Struthio camelus: one gene and its partner. The protein of the gene in region 1 interacts with the protein of each later gene in a biochemical or structural test. Links are inferred from orthologs where the notes say so. Each region holds a gene or a part of one and is shown in the gene's direction. Other genes may lie near its edges.

The links.
Region 2: the proteins of LZTR1 (region 1) and KRAS form a complex in vitro, tested with the Homo sapiens proteins (2 studies listed by BioGRID, with this or other methods). The link is inferred for Struthio camelus from reciprocal best matches to the Homo sapiens genes LZTR1 and KRAS.

Annotation. Positions count from the first base shown.
Region 1 is NC_090965.1:3,047,741-3,055,418, forward strand, and holds the start of LZTR1 (leucine-zipper-like transcriptional regulator 1), read left to right. Parts: upstream 1-4,615; 5' UTR 4,616-4,653; coding exon 4,654-4,829; intron 4,830-4,911; coding exon 4,912-4,974; intron 4,975-5,066; coding exon 5,067-5,123; intron 5,124-5,460; coding exon 5,461-5,540; intron 5,541-5,925; coding exon 5,926-6,034; intron 6,035-6,891; coding exon 6,892-6,975; intron 6,976-7,678. Other genes in the region: IPO9 (importin-9), read left to right, coding at 32-142. UniProt on the Homo sapiens protein: Substrate-specific adapter of a BCR (BTB-CUL3-RBX1) E3 ubiquitin-protein ligase complex that mediates ubiquitination of Ras (K-Ras/KRAS, N-Ras/NRAS and H-Ras/HRAS).
Region 2 is NC_090942.1:76,287,787-76,295,284, reverse strand, and holds the start of KRAS (GTPase KRas), read left to right. Parts: upstream 1-4,427; 5' UTR 4,428-4,607; intron 4,608-5,854; 5' UTR 5,855-5,866; coding exon 5,867-5,977; intron 5,978-7,498. UniProt on the Homo sapiens protein: Ras proteins bind GDP/GTP and possess intrinsic GTPase activity. Plays an important role in the regulation of cell proliferation.

The DNA of each region.
Region 1 (7,678 bases):
TGCTAACTTGATCTTTTTGTCTTCTTTTTAGGCCTATCTCACTGACTTCCTGTGTCAGTTTGCACAGCAGCCGTGCTATGCAATGTTTTCAGACCATCTCAATGAGAATGAAAAGCGAGTGTTACAGGCCATTGGTATATAAACCCAATCAAGAGACCATACTGATCATATCTGAACAATATTTTTCTGGCTTATTCCACGTTTTATGATTAAACATGAAACATTTTCCAGTGTCCACCTGCTTGTTACAGGTGGATGATGGGCCTCATTGCGAAGTATTGAGCCTCATCTTATCATGAATCTGCTAAGGGAAGGAATACTAAGCAAGCAGCAAAGACGGAAGTCTGTAGAGCTTTGCACATTAATCTCACCAAGGGAGCACTTTCATTTTCCACAGTAATGTTCCAGGAAGTTCTTAAAAGAATGTGTCCTTAAATATTTTTAAAAGCAAACTGTCTCTGCCTGTCAAGAGGCACTTAAACTGAATTTCACACAGCACAGATGGACAGAGAAAGGAATCAGGTCACTTACAAATTGCTTGGATGTGTCTTGAAATTGGAAGGTTGTTCCTCTTTGTGCTCACATAACACATACAGGGTAAATATCTGGATCTTACAGTGTGACTTCTTTTTATAGAACTATAGACTCTTTTATCAGAGATGCCTGAATGGTATGGAACCTGTTTACAGGAGTTTGGATGGGAAGCTGAGACAATAAAAATAACTGCATATCTTCTTTCCTAGTGTGGATGGAGCTTTGTTGCTCACATCTACTCTCTAGTCCCATGGGAGCAGTTCTTTACTAATGCTTTTGTGTGCACATGCTTAAAGGAAGCTACCACTTAATTTCTGTTCCTGTGGCATGTGGCTACTAAAGACTTTGGTTTTATGGAACACAAGGAGCCACAATTTTTAGGGGGAAAATCTGATTATATTTAATGCATTTGCTCCATAACAGCCACTCTGATCTACTTTGCTTCCTTCACACTCCTGTGTGTATTTTTATAGAGTGGTAAAATAACATTTACAAATTGATTTACCCATAAGAACAGCGTGATGTATCTCACAACACCTCTCTGCCTTTGGTTCCCCCTTGGGGAAAATTAAAATAAAACTATTAAAATATACATTGGTATCCTTCTTATAAGACAGAGTTGAAAGGAAATTGCACTTGTTTCCCGAAATTGCTTTTTAAGACATATTTCTCCTTAGGAGATCTCCTATATGTGCCACCTGGAGGTTGTTAGGGTATTTCACAGGAGTCATCTGGACAGAAAGGGAGTCCTGTAATGGTTACATCATCTTCTGCTTAAAAGAAAGAGTGATCCATTATAGAGTTTCCTTTCTTAAGAAAGGTACTTGCTGTTCCTTTGTGGAATAAAATGCTTTGAAGTTGTATTTAAAAGCTTCCAAAGAGCTGGAATATGTATGCATCTTACTGGTCTAATTTACCGTATGGCTTTTCACTTTTCTTACCAGCAGGGGGTGATGAATTACTTTTTTTAAATGAACAAAGATGGCACAACACAATTTGTTTAGCATATGTGGGATAATGGTAAAATAACACTAAATTCTAAAGCTGACATTGCTTCCCCTCTCATGCCTAAAGCCCTCATGTTGTGCCTAAGAACAAGCAGAAATAGAGGGAATCCCACACGTCTTGCTACATGCCTGTAGATTGATCTGTCCCATCTTTGATTTCTCAGTAGTTTTCTATGAATAACTCCATGGCAAGTAGAATTTATGAAGCCTGATTTTATTTTTTGTGGCTTTGGATTAGTCTGTGTCTAATTCTAAAGGTATGAGCTCTGGAAAGTTTCCATGCAGTTGAGTCTCAATTTTTCTTCCCTGTCGGTTCTCTGGTGTATAAAACTAATTCAATTTTGTGCCATGGCCTTCCCTTCAGTGTGCGCTCTGCTGTGGCTCTGTCTCCTCTCTAGTCTCCCCCTCCCCGCCAAGTCTTCTAGGAATTTTGTTCGAGGTACGTGTGTCTCATAGCTTTCATTGAAATGGGCTGACAAGTTAAACTAAGCAGTGCAGTCTCATGAGGAAACTGAGAAATAGATGGCTGCAGTGCCTGATAGCTGTACAAAAGGATCAACTGAGTGACCAGTCCCAGCTGAGAGAAGAGACAGGACCATGTTTGCTAGCTGACATTCCTCCCCTGAATATCGGAATGGGCCTGTACTGCATGAAAACAGTTTGTAAGTCAATGGAACAGAAGAGTGAAGACCAAATCTAAATTTTCATTGCAAGTTACAAAATTAAGAAGGGCTATCAAATACTTTACCCCAGGAACTGACAGCAGAACTTGAAAATAGTCATTCATTGTTTGAGGTAAGTGGATACCTAACACTTGAAAGCACCTGGATGTGCTTTAGGCATCGGTAAGAAATGGACCACATACTTGTCTGGCTCGTTAGGGCTTTGTGGAGAGGGGCTGGTAGGGTTCATGTGCTTTCAGTTGGAAGTTGACTCGTGTGCCTTAACTGTACTTGCTTTATGCACCCTTAAGGTGCATCAAGTTGGATGACGAGTTTAAGCAAAAACATGAAAAATGGGTGCAGCTTAGCACCATTCCTCATCCTGAGTTGTATCTAAGGATTTCTTTGGATTTGCAGGGTCCCGTGAGTAAGTGATGGGCAGTTTCTTACAGAGTTCCTATCGGAGCTCTTCAGTGCATTGGTTAGAAGCTGCTCTTTGATTTGCAGGTATCAAGGGCTTGCTCTTTCCAGGAGTGCAACCAGTGAGATGGGAAGGAGTGGGGGGGGGAAATGGTGGCTCTTTGGGAACTAGTGCTCTGCACTGTCCTTCCTGTTGCATTTGGTTCATGTGCACCCACCTGGGCCCCTTCCAGCAGAATGAGCTGACCAAGTGCAGTGCCACTATGCAAGAGTGCTGATTTAAAATTCAGTTTGGGAGCAGCCTTTGAGATGATCCTGGGCCTGTCTGCGTGTTGTGGGTCAAGGGGAACAGGAACAGCCTAGTTTGTCTACAGCGGGTGCTCCACTGCAAGCAAACTCACAGCGTGCAGGACGCTTTCAGGCAAGAAATATACTGACTTGAGCTTCCCATAGGAGAGAGGCTGAATAAAGGATGAGAGCTACAGTGCATGATGGAGATGGTTGAAAGAGCCTTAAGTGGTCCCATGGGTGCCTGTACTGATGTTACTCCTTTGCCTTCTGCTTTCCCTGTGTTCTCTTCCTCCCTTTAAAAATTCTCAGAATGTGACACTATATATCTTTAAACAAGTGATGACTGGAGGGTCATCGGCTTTGCTGAAATAAATCTGAGCCAGTAGCGTGAGGTAATTGCTCAGGATGAAATACGGTGAAATGTCTGGAAAGCTGTCTAAGGTCTAGTGTTGAGATGTGGAATGCCCATTTTACTTGTGTACTGTGAAAAGAAACTAAACTAACCCTCACTAAAGGTTACTAACTCCATGTTATGAAAACCAAGCTCCCTTTTATACTTAGTTAAAAAGAAGGATGGGACTGAGGCTACTACTGGACATCCATGAGCCTTTGCCACTTCCGAAATCAGTGCCTGGCACTTTTGCATCCTTGTCAAAGCTCCTCGCGGAGGAGATGCCAATTGTGTTTTTGCACACTGGGTTTTATCTTGCTAGAATAGCATGAAGGTCCGATAGCCACAGAATATAATTTAAATAGTGACTCAATCAGCTGTGACTCTGGATGGAGACTTTACGCCTATTCATGAGTATTGTTCTTGGTATTTTTTTGTATTAATAAAATCTTTTAATGTATAAGCGTGCCTTGCCTCCGAGTCTTACAGAGATTGGTAACGAGGAGGGAGAGCACCCTCAGCTGCGCCAATCTGGCATCCCGGGCCGGGCCAGGCCTGACGCCCTGCTTCGAAGGGTGTTTTGCCTCTTTGGGGTTTGACTCTTGCAGCGCACAGAGCTGGTTAAGGTGTTTTAGGCCCTTGTTCTCCAAAGCTGGGCCAGCAGCTGGGCACTGTGACTGCGCCGCCTGTGCGTGCGGCCACCTCGCATGAATCCCGCCTGCGGCGTGGGGTTGCTATAGGGCACCAGAGCAGGCCTGGGTGGCCTTCTGGCCCCTGTGGAGCCCAGGCTGCTGGACTGAATGAGGAAAATGACTTTCGGGACCCCTTGAGAAGCTGGCAAGGTGCGTGCGGCTCCTTCCCTGCCGTGCCAGGAGCAGGCTGGAGCGCTGCGGGTCCACCCACCTGCCCACCCTTGGTCCTGCGGGCGTGGGACTTGAACCCGCCGCTACGTGCTGCCTAGGTGCGCCCCCCGCCCCGGAGCGGGGCACGCCGGGAGCTGTAGTCCCGCGGCGGAGGGAACGGCCGTGCCAGGCGCTGTAGCCGCGGGGCGGGCGGTAGAGCCAAGCCGGGCGCTGTAGTCGCGGGGCACGCCGGGAGCTGTAGTCCCGCGGCGGGAGGACGAGCCAAGCCGGGCGCTGTAGTCGCGGGGCACGCCGGGAGCTGTAGTCCCGCGGCGGGAGGACGAGCCAAGCCGGGCGCTGTAGTCGCGGGGCACGCCGGGAGCTGTAGTCCCGCGGCGGGAGGACGAGCCAAGCCGGGCGCTGTAGTCGCGGGGCACGCCGGGAGCTGTAGTCCCGCGGCGGGCGGGCTCGCCGGTTGGTGCGCGGCGGCGGGGCTGGCGCGGGCCATGGCGGCGGCCGGGGCGCCGTCGGGCGGCGCGGGGCGCTCCAAGGTGGCGCCGAGCGTGGACTTCGACCACAGCTGCTCGGACAGCGTCGAGTACCTCACCCTCAACTTCGGGCCCTTCGAGACGGTGCACCGGTGGCGCCGCCTCCCGCCCTGCGACGAGTTCGTGGGGGCCCGGTGAGCGGCGGCGGCGGCGGCGGCGGCGGGGGGTGGTGGTGGGTCCCGGCGGCTCCTGACCGCCGCTCTCTGCCGCCCGCAGGCGCAGCAAGCACACCGTGGTGGCCTACCGGGACGCCATCTACGTCTTCGGCGGCGACAACGGGTAAGGCCGCGGCGGGGCCGAGGGGAGCGGGGCCGCCGGGGCCGCCGCGCCGCCCCCCCCCCCCTCAGCCGCCTCTCCCGTCCCTCCCGCAGGAAGACGATGCTGAACGACCTGCTGCGCTTCGACGTGAAGGACTGCTCCTGGTGCAGGTGGGCCGCGCTGCGCCCCGGCCCTCTGCCGCCCCGCGCGGCTGCGAGACGCCTCGTCCCCCCGCGGCGCCGTTATGCTGGGTGTAACGGCTGGGGGCTCTGCACAGCCCCTCGCGGAGGGCGAGCCCCCCGGCCCCAGCATGCAGCTTTTATTTACCACTCTTAGTCTAGCACCAGATCTTAGGTCACGTAGTTAAACCAAAAAGAGTGAAAATGCCCCCTCGCGACCGGTAGAATAACTCTTAACGCCTGTTTCCGCGTTGAACCCGCACAGCAGCTTTGAATGCCCGAAGCGCGACAGTGTTGTTTGATTGCCACTGTTCTAACTGTTGCACAGGGCTTTTACCACGGGGACGCCGCCAGCACCGCGATACCACCATTCGGCTGTGGTCTATGGGAGCAGCATGTTTGTGTTTGGTAAGACAGCGGCAGGTTACAGCTGCGTGCCCTTGGGACGATAGATGTGTCTGTCCTCTCTTAAAACAGAGCAAGGTGTTTCCTACAGAGCGTCAAGAGGATCTCATTCAATAGGAAAGCTGGTGTTTTTCGTGGTTGACTGTGATTTGGACCTTAGCTTTGAAATAGCTTTACTCTTTTGTCTAAGGTAAAGAAAACTTGAAGCTCAGTGCCGTAGCATTTCTTTAGGGATAGAAGTAAGGTTGGAGGACAAGCCTCCCATGTTTAGCGTTCCAGCAGTCAAATAACTTTTGTTTGAGTGACGTAAACTTAAATTTCTTCTAATATATTGACTACAAGTATATATGCTCTCTTGAAATAGTCTAATAAAATTGTTATTGCCCAGGTGGCTATACTGGAGACATTTATTCCAATTCCAACTTGAAGAATAAAAACGATCTTTTTGAATATAAATTTGCAACTGGACAATGGACAGAGTGGAAGACTGAAGGCAGGTAAGGAGCTGGCATCATTGCCCCGCTCTTCAAGGGGACTTGGGTGTTACTCAGCAAGTACTTACAGTAGCACATAGTTACAAATAGTTACACTGTTAGTATTAAAGTGCTAGGACTGTGCACAGTCCTTTACATTGATTGTAAAGAATCAATAAGAACATTTAAAAATTCAGCACATTTAAAAGCTGTGCTTTTCCCCGCAGCTGCAGGTCTGCATACTGCATAAATGACCACTACCTTCTCAAACAAGCTAACGTTATGTCTCCTGGACTTGTGGCGTCACAGTTTTGTACAGCACTTCTTGATTGATTTGGTAAAAACAACACAAATTAGGGAGAAGAAATCATAGGATTGATTTTTTATTGTGGCACTGTATCTCATGAATGCTATGACTAAACGATCCCAAAAATATATTGTGAGCTCTGACCCTGATCTCATTTATGCATTCCACCTTCTTAGTAGGTGAAAATACACGTAGGATTATTTTATCGCATGTAAATTGCCACTTCGCCATAATGACAATGATATTGTCCTCTACAATTTAGCCAGCTTTCAAAAAATACTTAAGAACGTTTGAAGATTGGCAAGGAATTCATTGGATTTTTTTTGGTTTTTTGAGATAATTTTTTCTCATGAAGGAAGCAGAGTGTAAAGTTCTGCAGCCCTGGACAAGGGCTTCTTCTTGTGTGCTTTGACAGTGTATGACAGTAGCAATTTCCTAGCTTGAAGGCATTTAATATAGGGAGCTTTTATTCTTGTGAAATGTGTGTTTTAGCTATGATGCAGATCCTTATAGCACCTTTCCTGGTCAGTTAAGATTTTTTTTTTTAATTATTTTTAAATCTCCTCAATTGCAGATTGCCAGTTGCGAGGTCAGCTCATGGTGCAACAGTGTATAGCGACAAGCTGTGGATCTTTGCAGGATATGATGGCAATGCGCGGTAAGTAACGGCATCACTCTCTCCTTGGTCCCTTTTGTAACATCCCAGTCACTCACTTTTCACTTCCGTAGAGATGTTTTCCTATTCCAAGTGTTTTAAACACATAACTAGAGCTTTGCGAAGCCTAGCTTATTGATGAGCATTGTAGACCTTTGCAATTCACTGGCTCATGTTCACATAAGTATACATTAAAAAGCTGGTGACTCGGAATGTTTGAGGATGCATAAACTGATCACCTGCTTGATTGCGAGGATGCTAAGTGATCTTTGGATTTGGCAAGTGAGCATTTTCCAATATGCCACAGGCCTTCTGATGTTGCTACAAGCTTTGAGGAAAAAAGCAGGGTTTTTCTGTGAAGTCCTATGATGGAACTGAAAACAATATGCCAGCTTTTCCTCTGAAAACATGTGGCACTTCTGGTGGGATATTGCACTGAGATGACAGACTTGTTTGCTTCTAAGGCAGATGAGATTTTGGATAAGAAAAGACTGGAAGTGAGTGGTGCTGAGAAGTTAGGGAGAATTCTGGTGCTTTGTTCCAGATGGCAAGTTCTTCACTGTTGCTATCAGTCCCTTGGGGAAGAATCAGTTCTGCACAGGCATTTTTTTTTTTCTATCTTGGTGAAGATGAGAAGTTTCTTATGATCATGCACAGTATTTGCATCAGCAAAGCATACAGAAATCAGCATGAACTAGGAGGTGCG
Region 2 (7,498 bases), on another chromosome or scaffold:
ATATTCAAAATAAAAAGTCAGAGACAGCTGAATTAAACCAAAAGTCAAACCATTTATGAATACCGGTAACATGCTGTATCTTAACGCATTACTTTCAAGCCAAATCTACTGTTATTGAAGAAAAATATATTAAGCCTGGTTCCTTGGAGTCTACATGGAAAAAAAAAAAAAAGATTTGAATGGCCTTGCACTAGTCTCCTGTTTAAGCTGTGTAGAGGGCAGCTTAGCTGCCATTCAAGCTAAAGGAGTAGAACCTTGTTTTGTACTTTATATGGCTAAGCATTTGAAAGTAATTTTCAGTTTAAGGCCTGTGGATTTCTTGGGGTCCATTACCTAATTTTAAAAGGAATTGCAGACAGCAACAAGGAAAAAAATGTTCACATAAGGTGTGCGTCTATGTATGCTATGTTCATATGCCATGTGAGTCCGTATATGCTAGACTTCAATCTGTAAATGTAAAATTACTAAAGAGAGCCATACCACCAAAGGAAATTTGATGGAAGACCAAAATTAAACACACATGAAAAGTATTGCTTTGATTTTAACATAAAATAACATTTAAAATTACATTTATCAATCTATCTATCAATGGATACAAATGTTCCTGTATTTAAGTTCATTGTATTCTTCCCAACATGGAGTTCATTACCATCTCTCTCTTCTAGACCCTGCCTTGACTAGAGTTAGTGAATTAAAAGTCTGGGGAATAAGGCTGTGTTCTGCTGTGTCAATAGACACAAATTGGTAAGGGCATTTACACTGCTCTAGGTAAGACTTTAAAAAAAAAAAAAAAAATTCTTCTGTAGGTTGCCTTATCAAGGATAGGGCAGCATAGCTAAGTCTGTAGGACTTCCTTAAAAGTCTAAAAATTGTCTTGGGAGGAGATAAGGAAAAGGTAGTGACTGAAGGCTAATATATTCCAAATGCCATGGATCCCATGCTGTTCATGGGTGACATATGGGACCTTGTACTAGAGCAAAATATAAACTCACACAGTTGGGTCAAAGGTGTTCAAAAAACGTCATGTAAACACTTTGTATTTGCAGGCTTTATGCTGAATCTGGCATAAAATGTTGTATTGCTAGCCTAAAAGCATGAAACCACCCTTAGCCCCAGTATTGTGGTTTCTGGCTAAATGAACTGAAATATAATCACGTGCTTGTGCTGACCGGGACCAAATGTATAAACGGTGGTTATTCGACAAAGCATACCTGACAACAGGTAGCAATGGCTGCAGACCCTTGGCCTCTCTGTGTGTGACAGAAAAATTCTCTTATGCTAATATTTTAAATTAATGGCATGCAATCTTTAAACTGTACAAACCCACTTCTCCCCCTGTAGTGATTCTCCATTGCCTTTGCATCTGCTTTGCATGTAGTTAAATGCCAGCAAAAGCACCAGGAAAATTAACTTCTGTCTCAGCTTGTTAACAGAGATAGTCAGACAGGGAAATCTTATTGTTTATCTTGAGGCTGGAGCTGTGTATCACTTTTCCACCACCACCCCGGATTCCTGGCAGTCAGGTGGTAAATGCTCATATATTCTGAAATTTAAAATGTCTTTGACTTTATTGTATAAAGTATAGGACTAGATAAGTCTGAGTAGGGTGAATATGTGGCTGATGGGATTATACCTGCATTTGGGTCTAGTGCTTGATATCATAAGGGAAGCATCTTGTCAGAATAAGGAGCTCTGACCAGCGATTTGTCCTGAGAGCCTTCGAAGATCAGTATCCATGAAGGACCAGATAATCCAGACGGGAATATTTTAATGCAAATGTGAAGAGGCCTTTGAATTTATGAATATGCTTTAACTTAATAAAAGTATTTAGCTCTAGTACCCTGAAGTGTTTTGGGATTTGAGTAAGTGTGTCTGTTTTGCTTATGTTCTGCATTCTCTGTGCAAATTGCCCTGTAGAAACAATCACTAAAATGAAGTGGGTAACACATAGGAGACACTAGCAAAATCTAGGAGGTTTTGCATCACTTGCGCTGACTTTTCAAGGGCTTTCATATCAATGCAGTGTATAGGTTGGTACTTTATATATTTCAATCAGCTCTTTTATTTCTGCTTCTTTTCAAACCACTTTACCCAGCAGGTATCTCTTCTAAGAGAAATTTAGTTAAGACAAACAGCAAGTTCATAATAACAGACATTTAGAAACAAATCTGCATTCAACAAAAAAACAAGCTTTGCATTCAACTTTTTCCAGCTTCCCAACAATTCATTTCCCCCTCAAACTCTTTGCAGAATGATAGTTTTTGTATTTCACTGAGATAGTACAAAACATGGAAATTCAAGCTGTAATCAAGACCTGAAGTTTTCACAGAGAAGGATCCACCCAAGTCTCTCTGGATACTTTTCTGATTCCAACTGTGACTGTGTGGGTTTAAGGATGAACAGCTTCTACCCATACAAAGCTCTGTAGATCAGAGCAAACCATTGAAGTTGTTTGTGCAACACCAGTACTAAGTGCAGAACTGGGCAAGCTTTCCTGTTACACAGGCATTTTCCCATTGCCTTATGATGAACCACAACACTTCAAGTAGTTTTCCTAAGGGGGTATAACACAAAAGTGAGATCCTGCTATCCTAAAACAGCTGATCAAGGCATTTACCTCGGTTGCTGAACATCCGCATTCAAATCCTTTCTTTGCCTGTTTCACACCACAGATTGGAATGTGGGTTTCCCACATCCCAAGCTTGTGGTTTTACCACCCGGCTACTCGTTCTTTGAAAGTGGGGCTTTCTTCTGGTTTTGGCAACTGCTCATGTGAGATTGCTTATGAAGTGAGCTATCTGTATCATTCAGCTTTAATTCTGATTTGTGAGATGATTTTGCATGCTACACTTATGTGCCTTTTTGTGACTTTGTTTCTCATCAGCCTTAATAAAAAAATCTAGTAAGAGCATTTAACACAAAAAGGACCAGGTCACTAACACTCAAATCACTGGGAGAGGATAAAAGCTTTCCAAATTCTTTTTTTTTTTTTTTTTTGCATTTCATGACAATATATAGCCTCCTGTTGCATATAAGAATCCTTACACAAGCTCCAAGCTCCCATAGCAGTCCGTAGGACTTGTGTCACTGATTTCAGTGACAGAAAAGACTGGCTTCAAGAATACAAGGAAAAGAGCTCCTCTGATCTTTCCTAGGCTCTGTTTGAAGAGATATTTTCACACAGCTGCTCAAAAACATGTTTGTTTTCCACCCGGGTCTTCATACCTGAGCATCAGGGAGTAGCATTGAACAGCAACACAGGGTCTTTGGCTTATTTGCATGAATTAATCACAGGAACACAGCTTTTAAATTAGATGGCATTGTCCCAAAGGGTTAATGCCTTACATGCTCAGATGGATGCTGCCCAAAAGCGCAGTGCCTTGGATGCACACTGAGAATGAAAGAAGCTGCAAGTTCTGTCACACACAATTATGGAGAACAAAGCTCCAGCCTTTGAAATTAAAACTCTTGAACACCAGATGTGTAGACACAATATATTTATTTTTGACTTTCCAATTTAAGAGGGAAAACAGAACTGGCCAAACTAATCCCTGGTGTAATCCAGTCGACATCACTGGAGTTACCCTAGGAATAAGCTTGGATTCTTAGACCTGATGACATAAATATTTCAAAAAATTTCATAGCACTTATGACCATATAACACAAGCTTAGAAATGACCTATGCAGTATACCCAATTAGAGGGAACTGAGTTTTTGGCCTTTTAATGAGAAAGTAGGCTTTGCGGTACAATTGTTACCTTGCCTCTAATAGTACGCTGATTAACTGTTGTGCAGAGCACCCAGGCAATTAATAAAAGCCTTTTGTTTAATTGTGAAAATTATTAACCTTAATACCGAAATTATTAAAACTGCAATGGGCATTTAAGTTTTACGGTAATTCTGCATTTCTGCTTTTGTGACCTTTTCTTGACCCGTAAGGATAAACCCTATTCTTCTTGTTTACACAGGGAGCCTCTCACGCTCCACCTTGCCAAACAGCCAGCGCAGCCTCCTGACTAGGAACCGGTATAAAGCCTTACGGGGGCACTAAAGCCCCTCTTCCTACGCCCCGAGCGATGCGGCAGCGGGTGCCTTTGGGCTGAGGGCAGGGCCGCGGCCGTTGGGACGGCTGGGGAGGCGGCCCGGGCCGCCGCTGCCTGCCCGGCAGGCTGACGGTCCGCGTGCCCCCGCCGCGAGGAAGCAGCAAACACTGAAATTACGCTTATTTCCCTCCCCTACGCGGCGCCTCCCCCCTCCTCCGTCGCCGCCGCCGCGCGAGTGACCGTTGCCACCCGCGCGAGTGACCGTTGCCGCACCCCTCCCTCCCTGCCTCCCCGCCCCGCCTGAGTCAGTGGGCGGGGAGCTCCCCTTCCCCTTCTCCTCCCTCGGCTGCCGCAGGGGCGGGGGAGCGCCGAGCGCGTCGATCGCATCCATCCACCCACTCGGCGCTCGGCTCCCTCGGCAGCTCCCAGCCCCAGCCCTCCCCGTCCCCCGCCATTTCAGACCGGGACGGAGAGGGACGCGGAGCGGTCCGCCGCGGCGGGGCGGGCAGGGGCACGGGCACGGGCACACCGGCGTGCTCCCGCGGCCCGCACAGCGCCAGGCAGGTACCGCCTATCCCCCTCCTTTCACCGCCTTAGCCGCCCCGCTCGCTGCTTCCTCCCCCTCCCCCCCCCGCTTTCCCCCAAGGTGGGGCAGGGGGAAGTCGGCGGCGGTTTACCGGAGCCGGGCACCCCCTCCCCCGCCCCCCACGGCCGGAGATGCTCGCCCCGGCGCGACCCCCTCCCCCAGCGCCGCCCACCTCTGCGAGGGCAGAGCCGGGCGGGGGCCGCCGCGCCGCCTCCCCGCGCGTGTCCCGCCGCCGCCGCCGCGGGGGCTGCGCCCTGCGCCGCTTCCTTCCCCCGCCGGCATCGCCGCCGCCCCGCGTCCCCCCCCCCCCCACCTCCGGCAGCCCGCGCCTCCCCCGCGCCGCTTCCCTTCCCCGCGGTGCGGGAGGAGGGGGCGGCGGGACAGGTGGCCAACGCCCTCCGGGAGCCCCGGCACCGGCTGCCTCTGCTCAGTCAACCGCCGCCCGCGAAACCCCTCCCTCTTTCCTACTCGTTTCCTTCCCCCCACTCAAAATCCTGAAAATCCCGTGCGCCGGCGGCGCGGAAAGTTTTGGCCGCCTCGGCCGCGTCGCCTCGCTCCGAGAGGGGAACCGTGGTGGGGCGGCCCCCAGGCGGGCAGGAGGGCGGCGGGCGGCCCCTGCTGGCCCGGCCCGGCCCGACCCGGCCCCGGTGGGGGGACGCGTCCGCGGAGGGCAGCTCGTCAGGTGAGCCCGCCCGGCCCGGCCTTTAAAGTACTCGTGTTCCCGTCTTTGGGGTGGCCGCGGGGACAGATCGGCAGGGGTGCTCAGTGCTGGTCGGTTCCGATTTAAAAAAAATTTAAAAAAAAAAAAAATCAGGGAAGTCTGCCAGAATTCGTGGAACTTCAGAAGGGAAACCGAGCAGAAAATGAAGCCTTTATTCTACAGAAAATACTCTTTAACCACTTTTCAGAAATTAATGTAACTTTATAGGTTTTTTTTTTTTTAGGCAGCTTTTTGTAATCGCTGCCTTTCAGCTTCATGTATGCGCCACAGTTATTAAGAATTTTTTTTTTTTTTGAAAAGTAGCATCCCCTCTTAGCCTTTGAGTGTGTGTGTGCACATGTGGCTTTTTGTTTGTTTTTCTGATTTTTTTTTTTTTTTGGAAGAGGGAGAATTTGCTTCCCTGCAATAGTAAAGGAATACGATAGTGAATGAAAATGCAGTAACAGCATTCTCTTTTGTTGGAGCTTGACCCTTTCTGCTTAATGTTGGTTTCTTTGTCATCAGGTCTGCTAAAAAATGACAGAATATAAGCTTGTTGTCGTTGGAGCTGGTGGTGTAGGCAAGAGCGCCTTGACGATACAGCTAATTCAAAATCACTTTGTGGATGAATATGACCCTACAATAGAGGTAAACAGCTCCATCCTACACTCTTTATGATGAGAAATTATCAGTAAATAATGGTGATTGACGACCTTTAGACAATTACCCCAAAAACATCATAGGAAAAAGCTTTATATGGAAAAAGTCTCAGACATAAAGTCTGAGACATTAGAGAGCAAACTAGAGTACAGAGCTAATATTAGAGAGCAAATCAGAGTACTTTTGGATCTGGCAGTGGAACAAAAGCTGCAGTAAATACTTAACAATATTGATCAGTTAAAATGTGGTGTTAGTTGCCATATCTTATTGGGCAGTTTGAATACATGTTTTTATGATTTTAGTAACAATGTTATTCGTCAAACTTGCTTAAAAATGCCTGTCAAAACTGATTTTGCATGCAACCTACAAATGTCTTAAATGTGACTCTCCTTTTTGATCTCAAGTAGGAGAAGCTGTAGTCCTGAAATGTACCTGTCAAGCTTTCTCAGCTCTTATCATTAGGATCTGTTTCACAGGGTGAGAAATGTGTTCTGGAATGCTATGGTGAATGAGACAAAATCTGGAGCCTGGCTTTTTTTTTTTTTTTTTATTTTAACATGCCAGTAGGTGTTGCTGTATATCTAGAAAAATGTTATAAGGTAGCTGCTGTAGTGGATTCTTTGAAATACATGATGCAGTTCTTCAAAACTTGAAACTATATTTAAGCTTCAAAAGTTATGCTGTTTAAAAGCTTTTTTTATGAGCAGGCAAGCTTTGCCTTCTAAATACAAGAAAAATACTAGTGTTGTCCGAAGTCTCCTGTGGATCATTGGATTTAATAACCTCAGACTCTGTATAAAAGGAGAAATGACACTATAATTTACCCAAGATTTTTATGTTCCCAGTACTGAAGCTCTGTAGCTTATGACTTCATTTATATGTTTATACAATGAGGTGCTTCCAAGCTCACTTGAAGGAATCACAGAGGTTTAAATCTAGGCTTAAATGGTGACTCAGGGAATGGCTATGCAGCCTTTTTCAGGTAGACATAAGTGAAAGGAGTCTATGCTCTGAAATGGTAGGAAGCTGTGTTATTTCAGTGAAGTAAAGACCTGAGTTAACATGCCCCTGTGAGAGCTACCTTTGCTTGAGTTTGGGATTACCTTCATGGGGCTGTGTCTTCTTGTCTGCTTGCTGAATGGCCAGATAATATCATGTATGCTGGTAGAAGACTCTGTGAACAGAGCCTTAGAGAGAGGGGGAGTGTTTAACTTGTACTAGAAGAGCAGCTCTTTTGTTAATTAAGATATGTGAGATTTTAAAAACAACAATCCAGAACACACTTAAATCACGTTCTGTCTTTCCCTCTCAGTGAGTTTTCCTCACTCTTGTAAAAGGAGCTTTGGGGGATGCTGGCTTTTGTAATATCTATTCTTAATCATCTGGGCAGGTTTCGGTTAGATGAGAGGTGTATTTACACTTTACAATAAGTACTATGGATATTCTATGTTAAAAGTTGTCACATGATGCTAGAGTTGTGTAAATGACTTAGGAATGCATACACTTAAA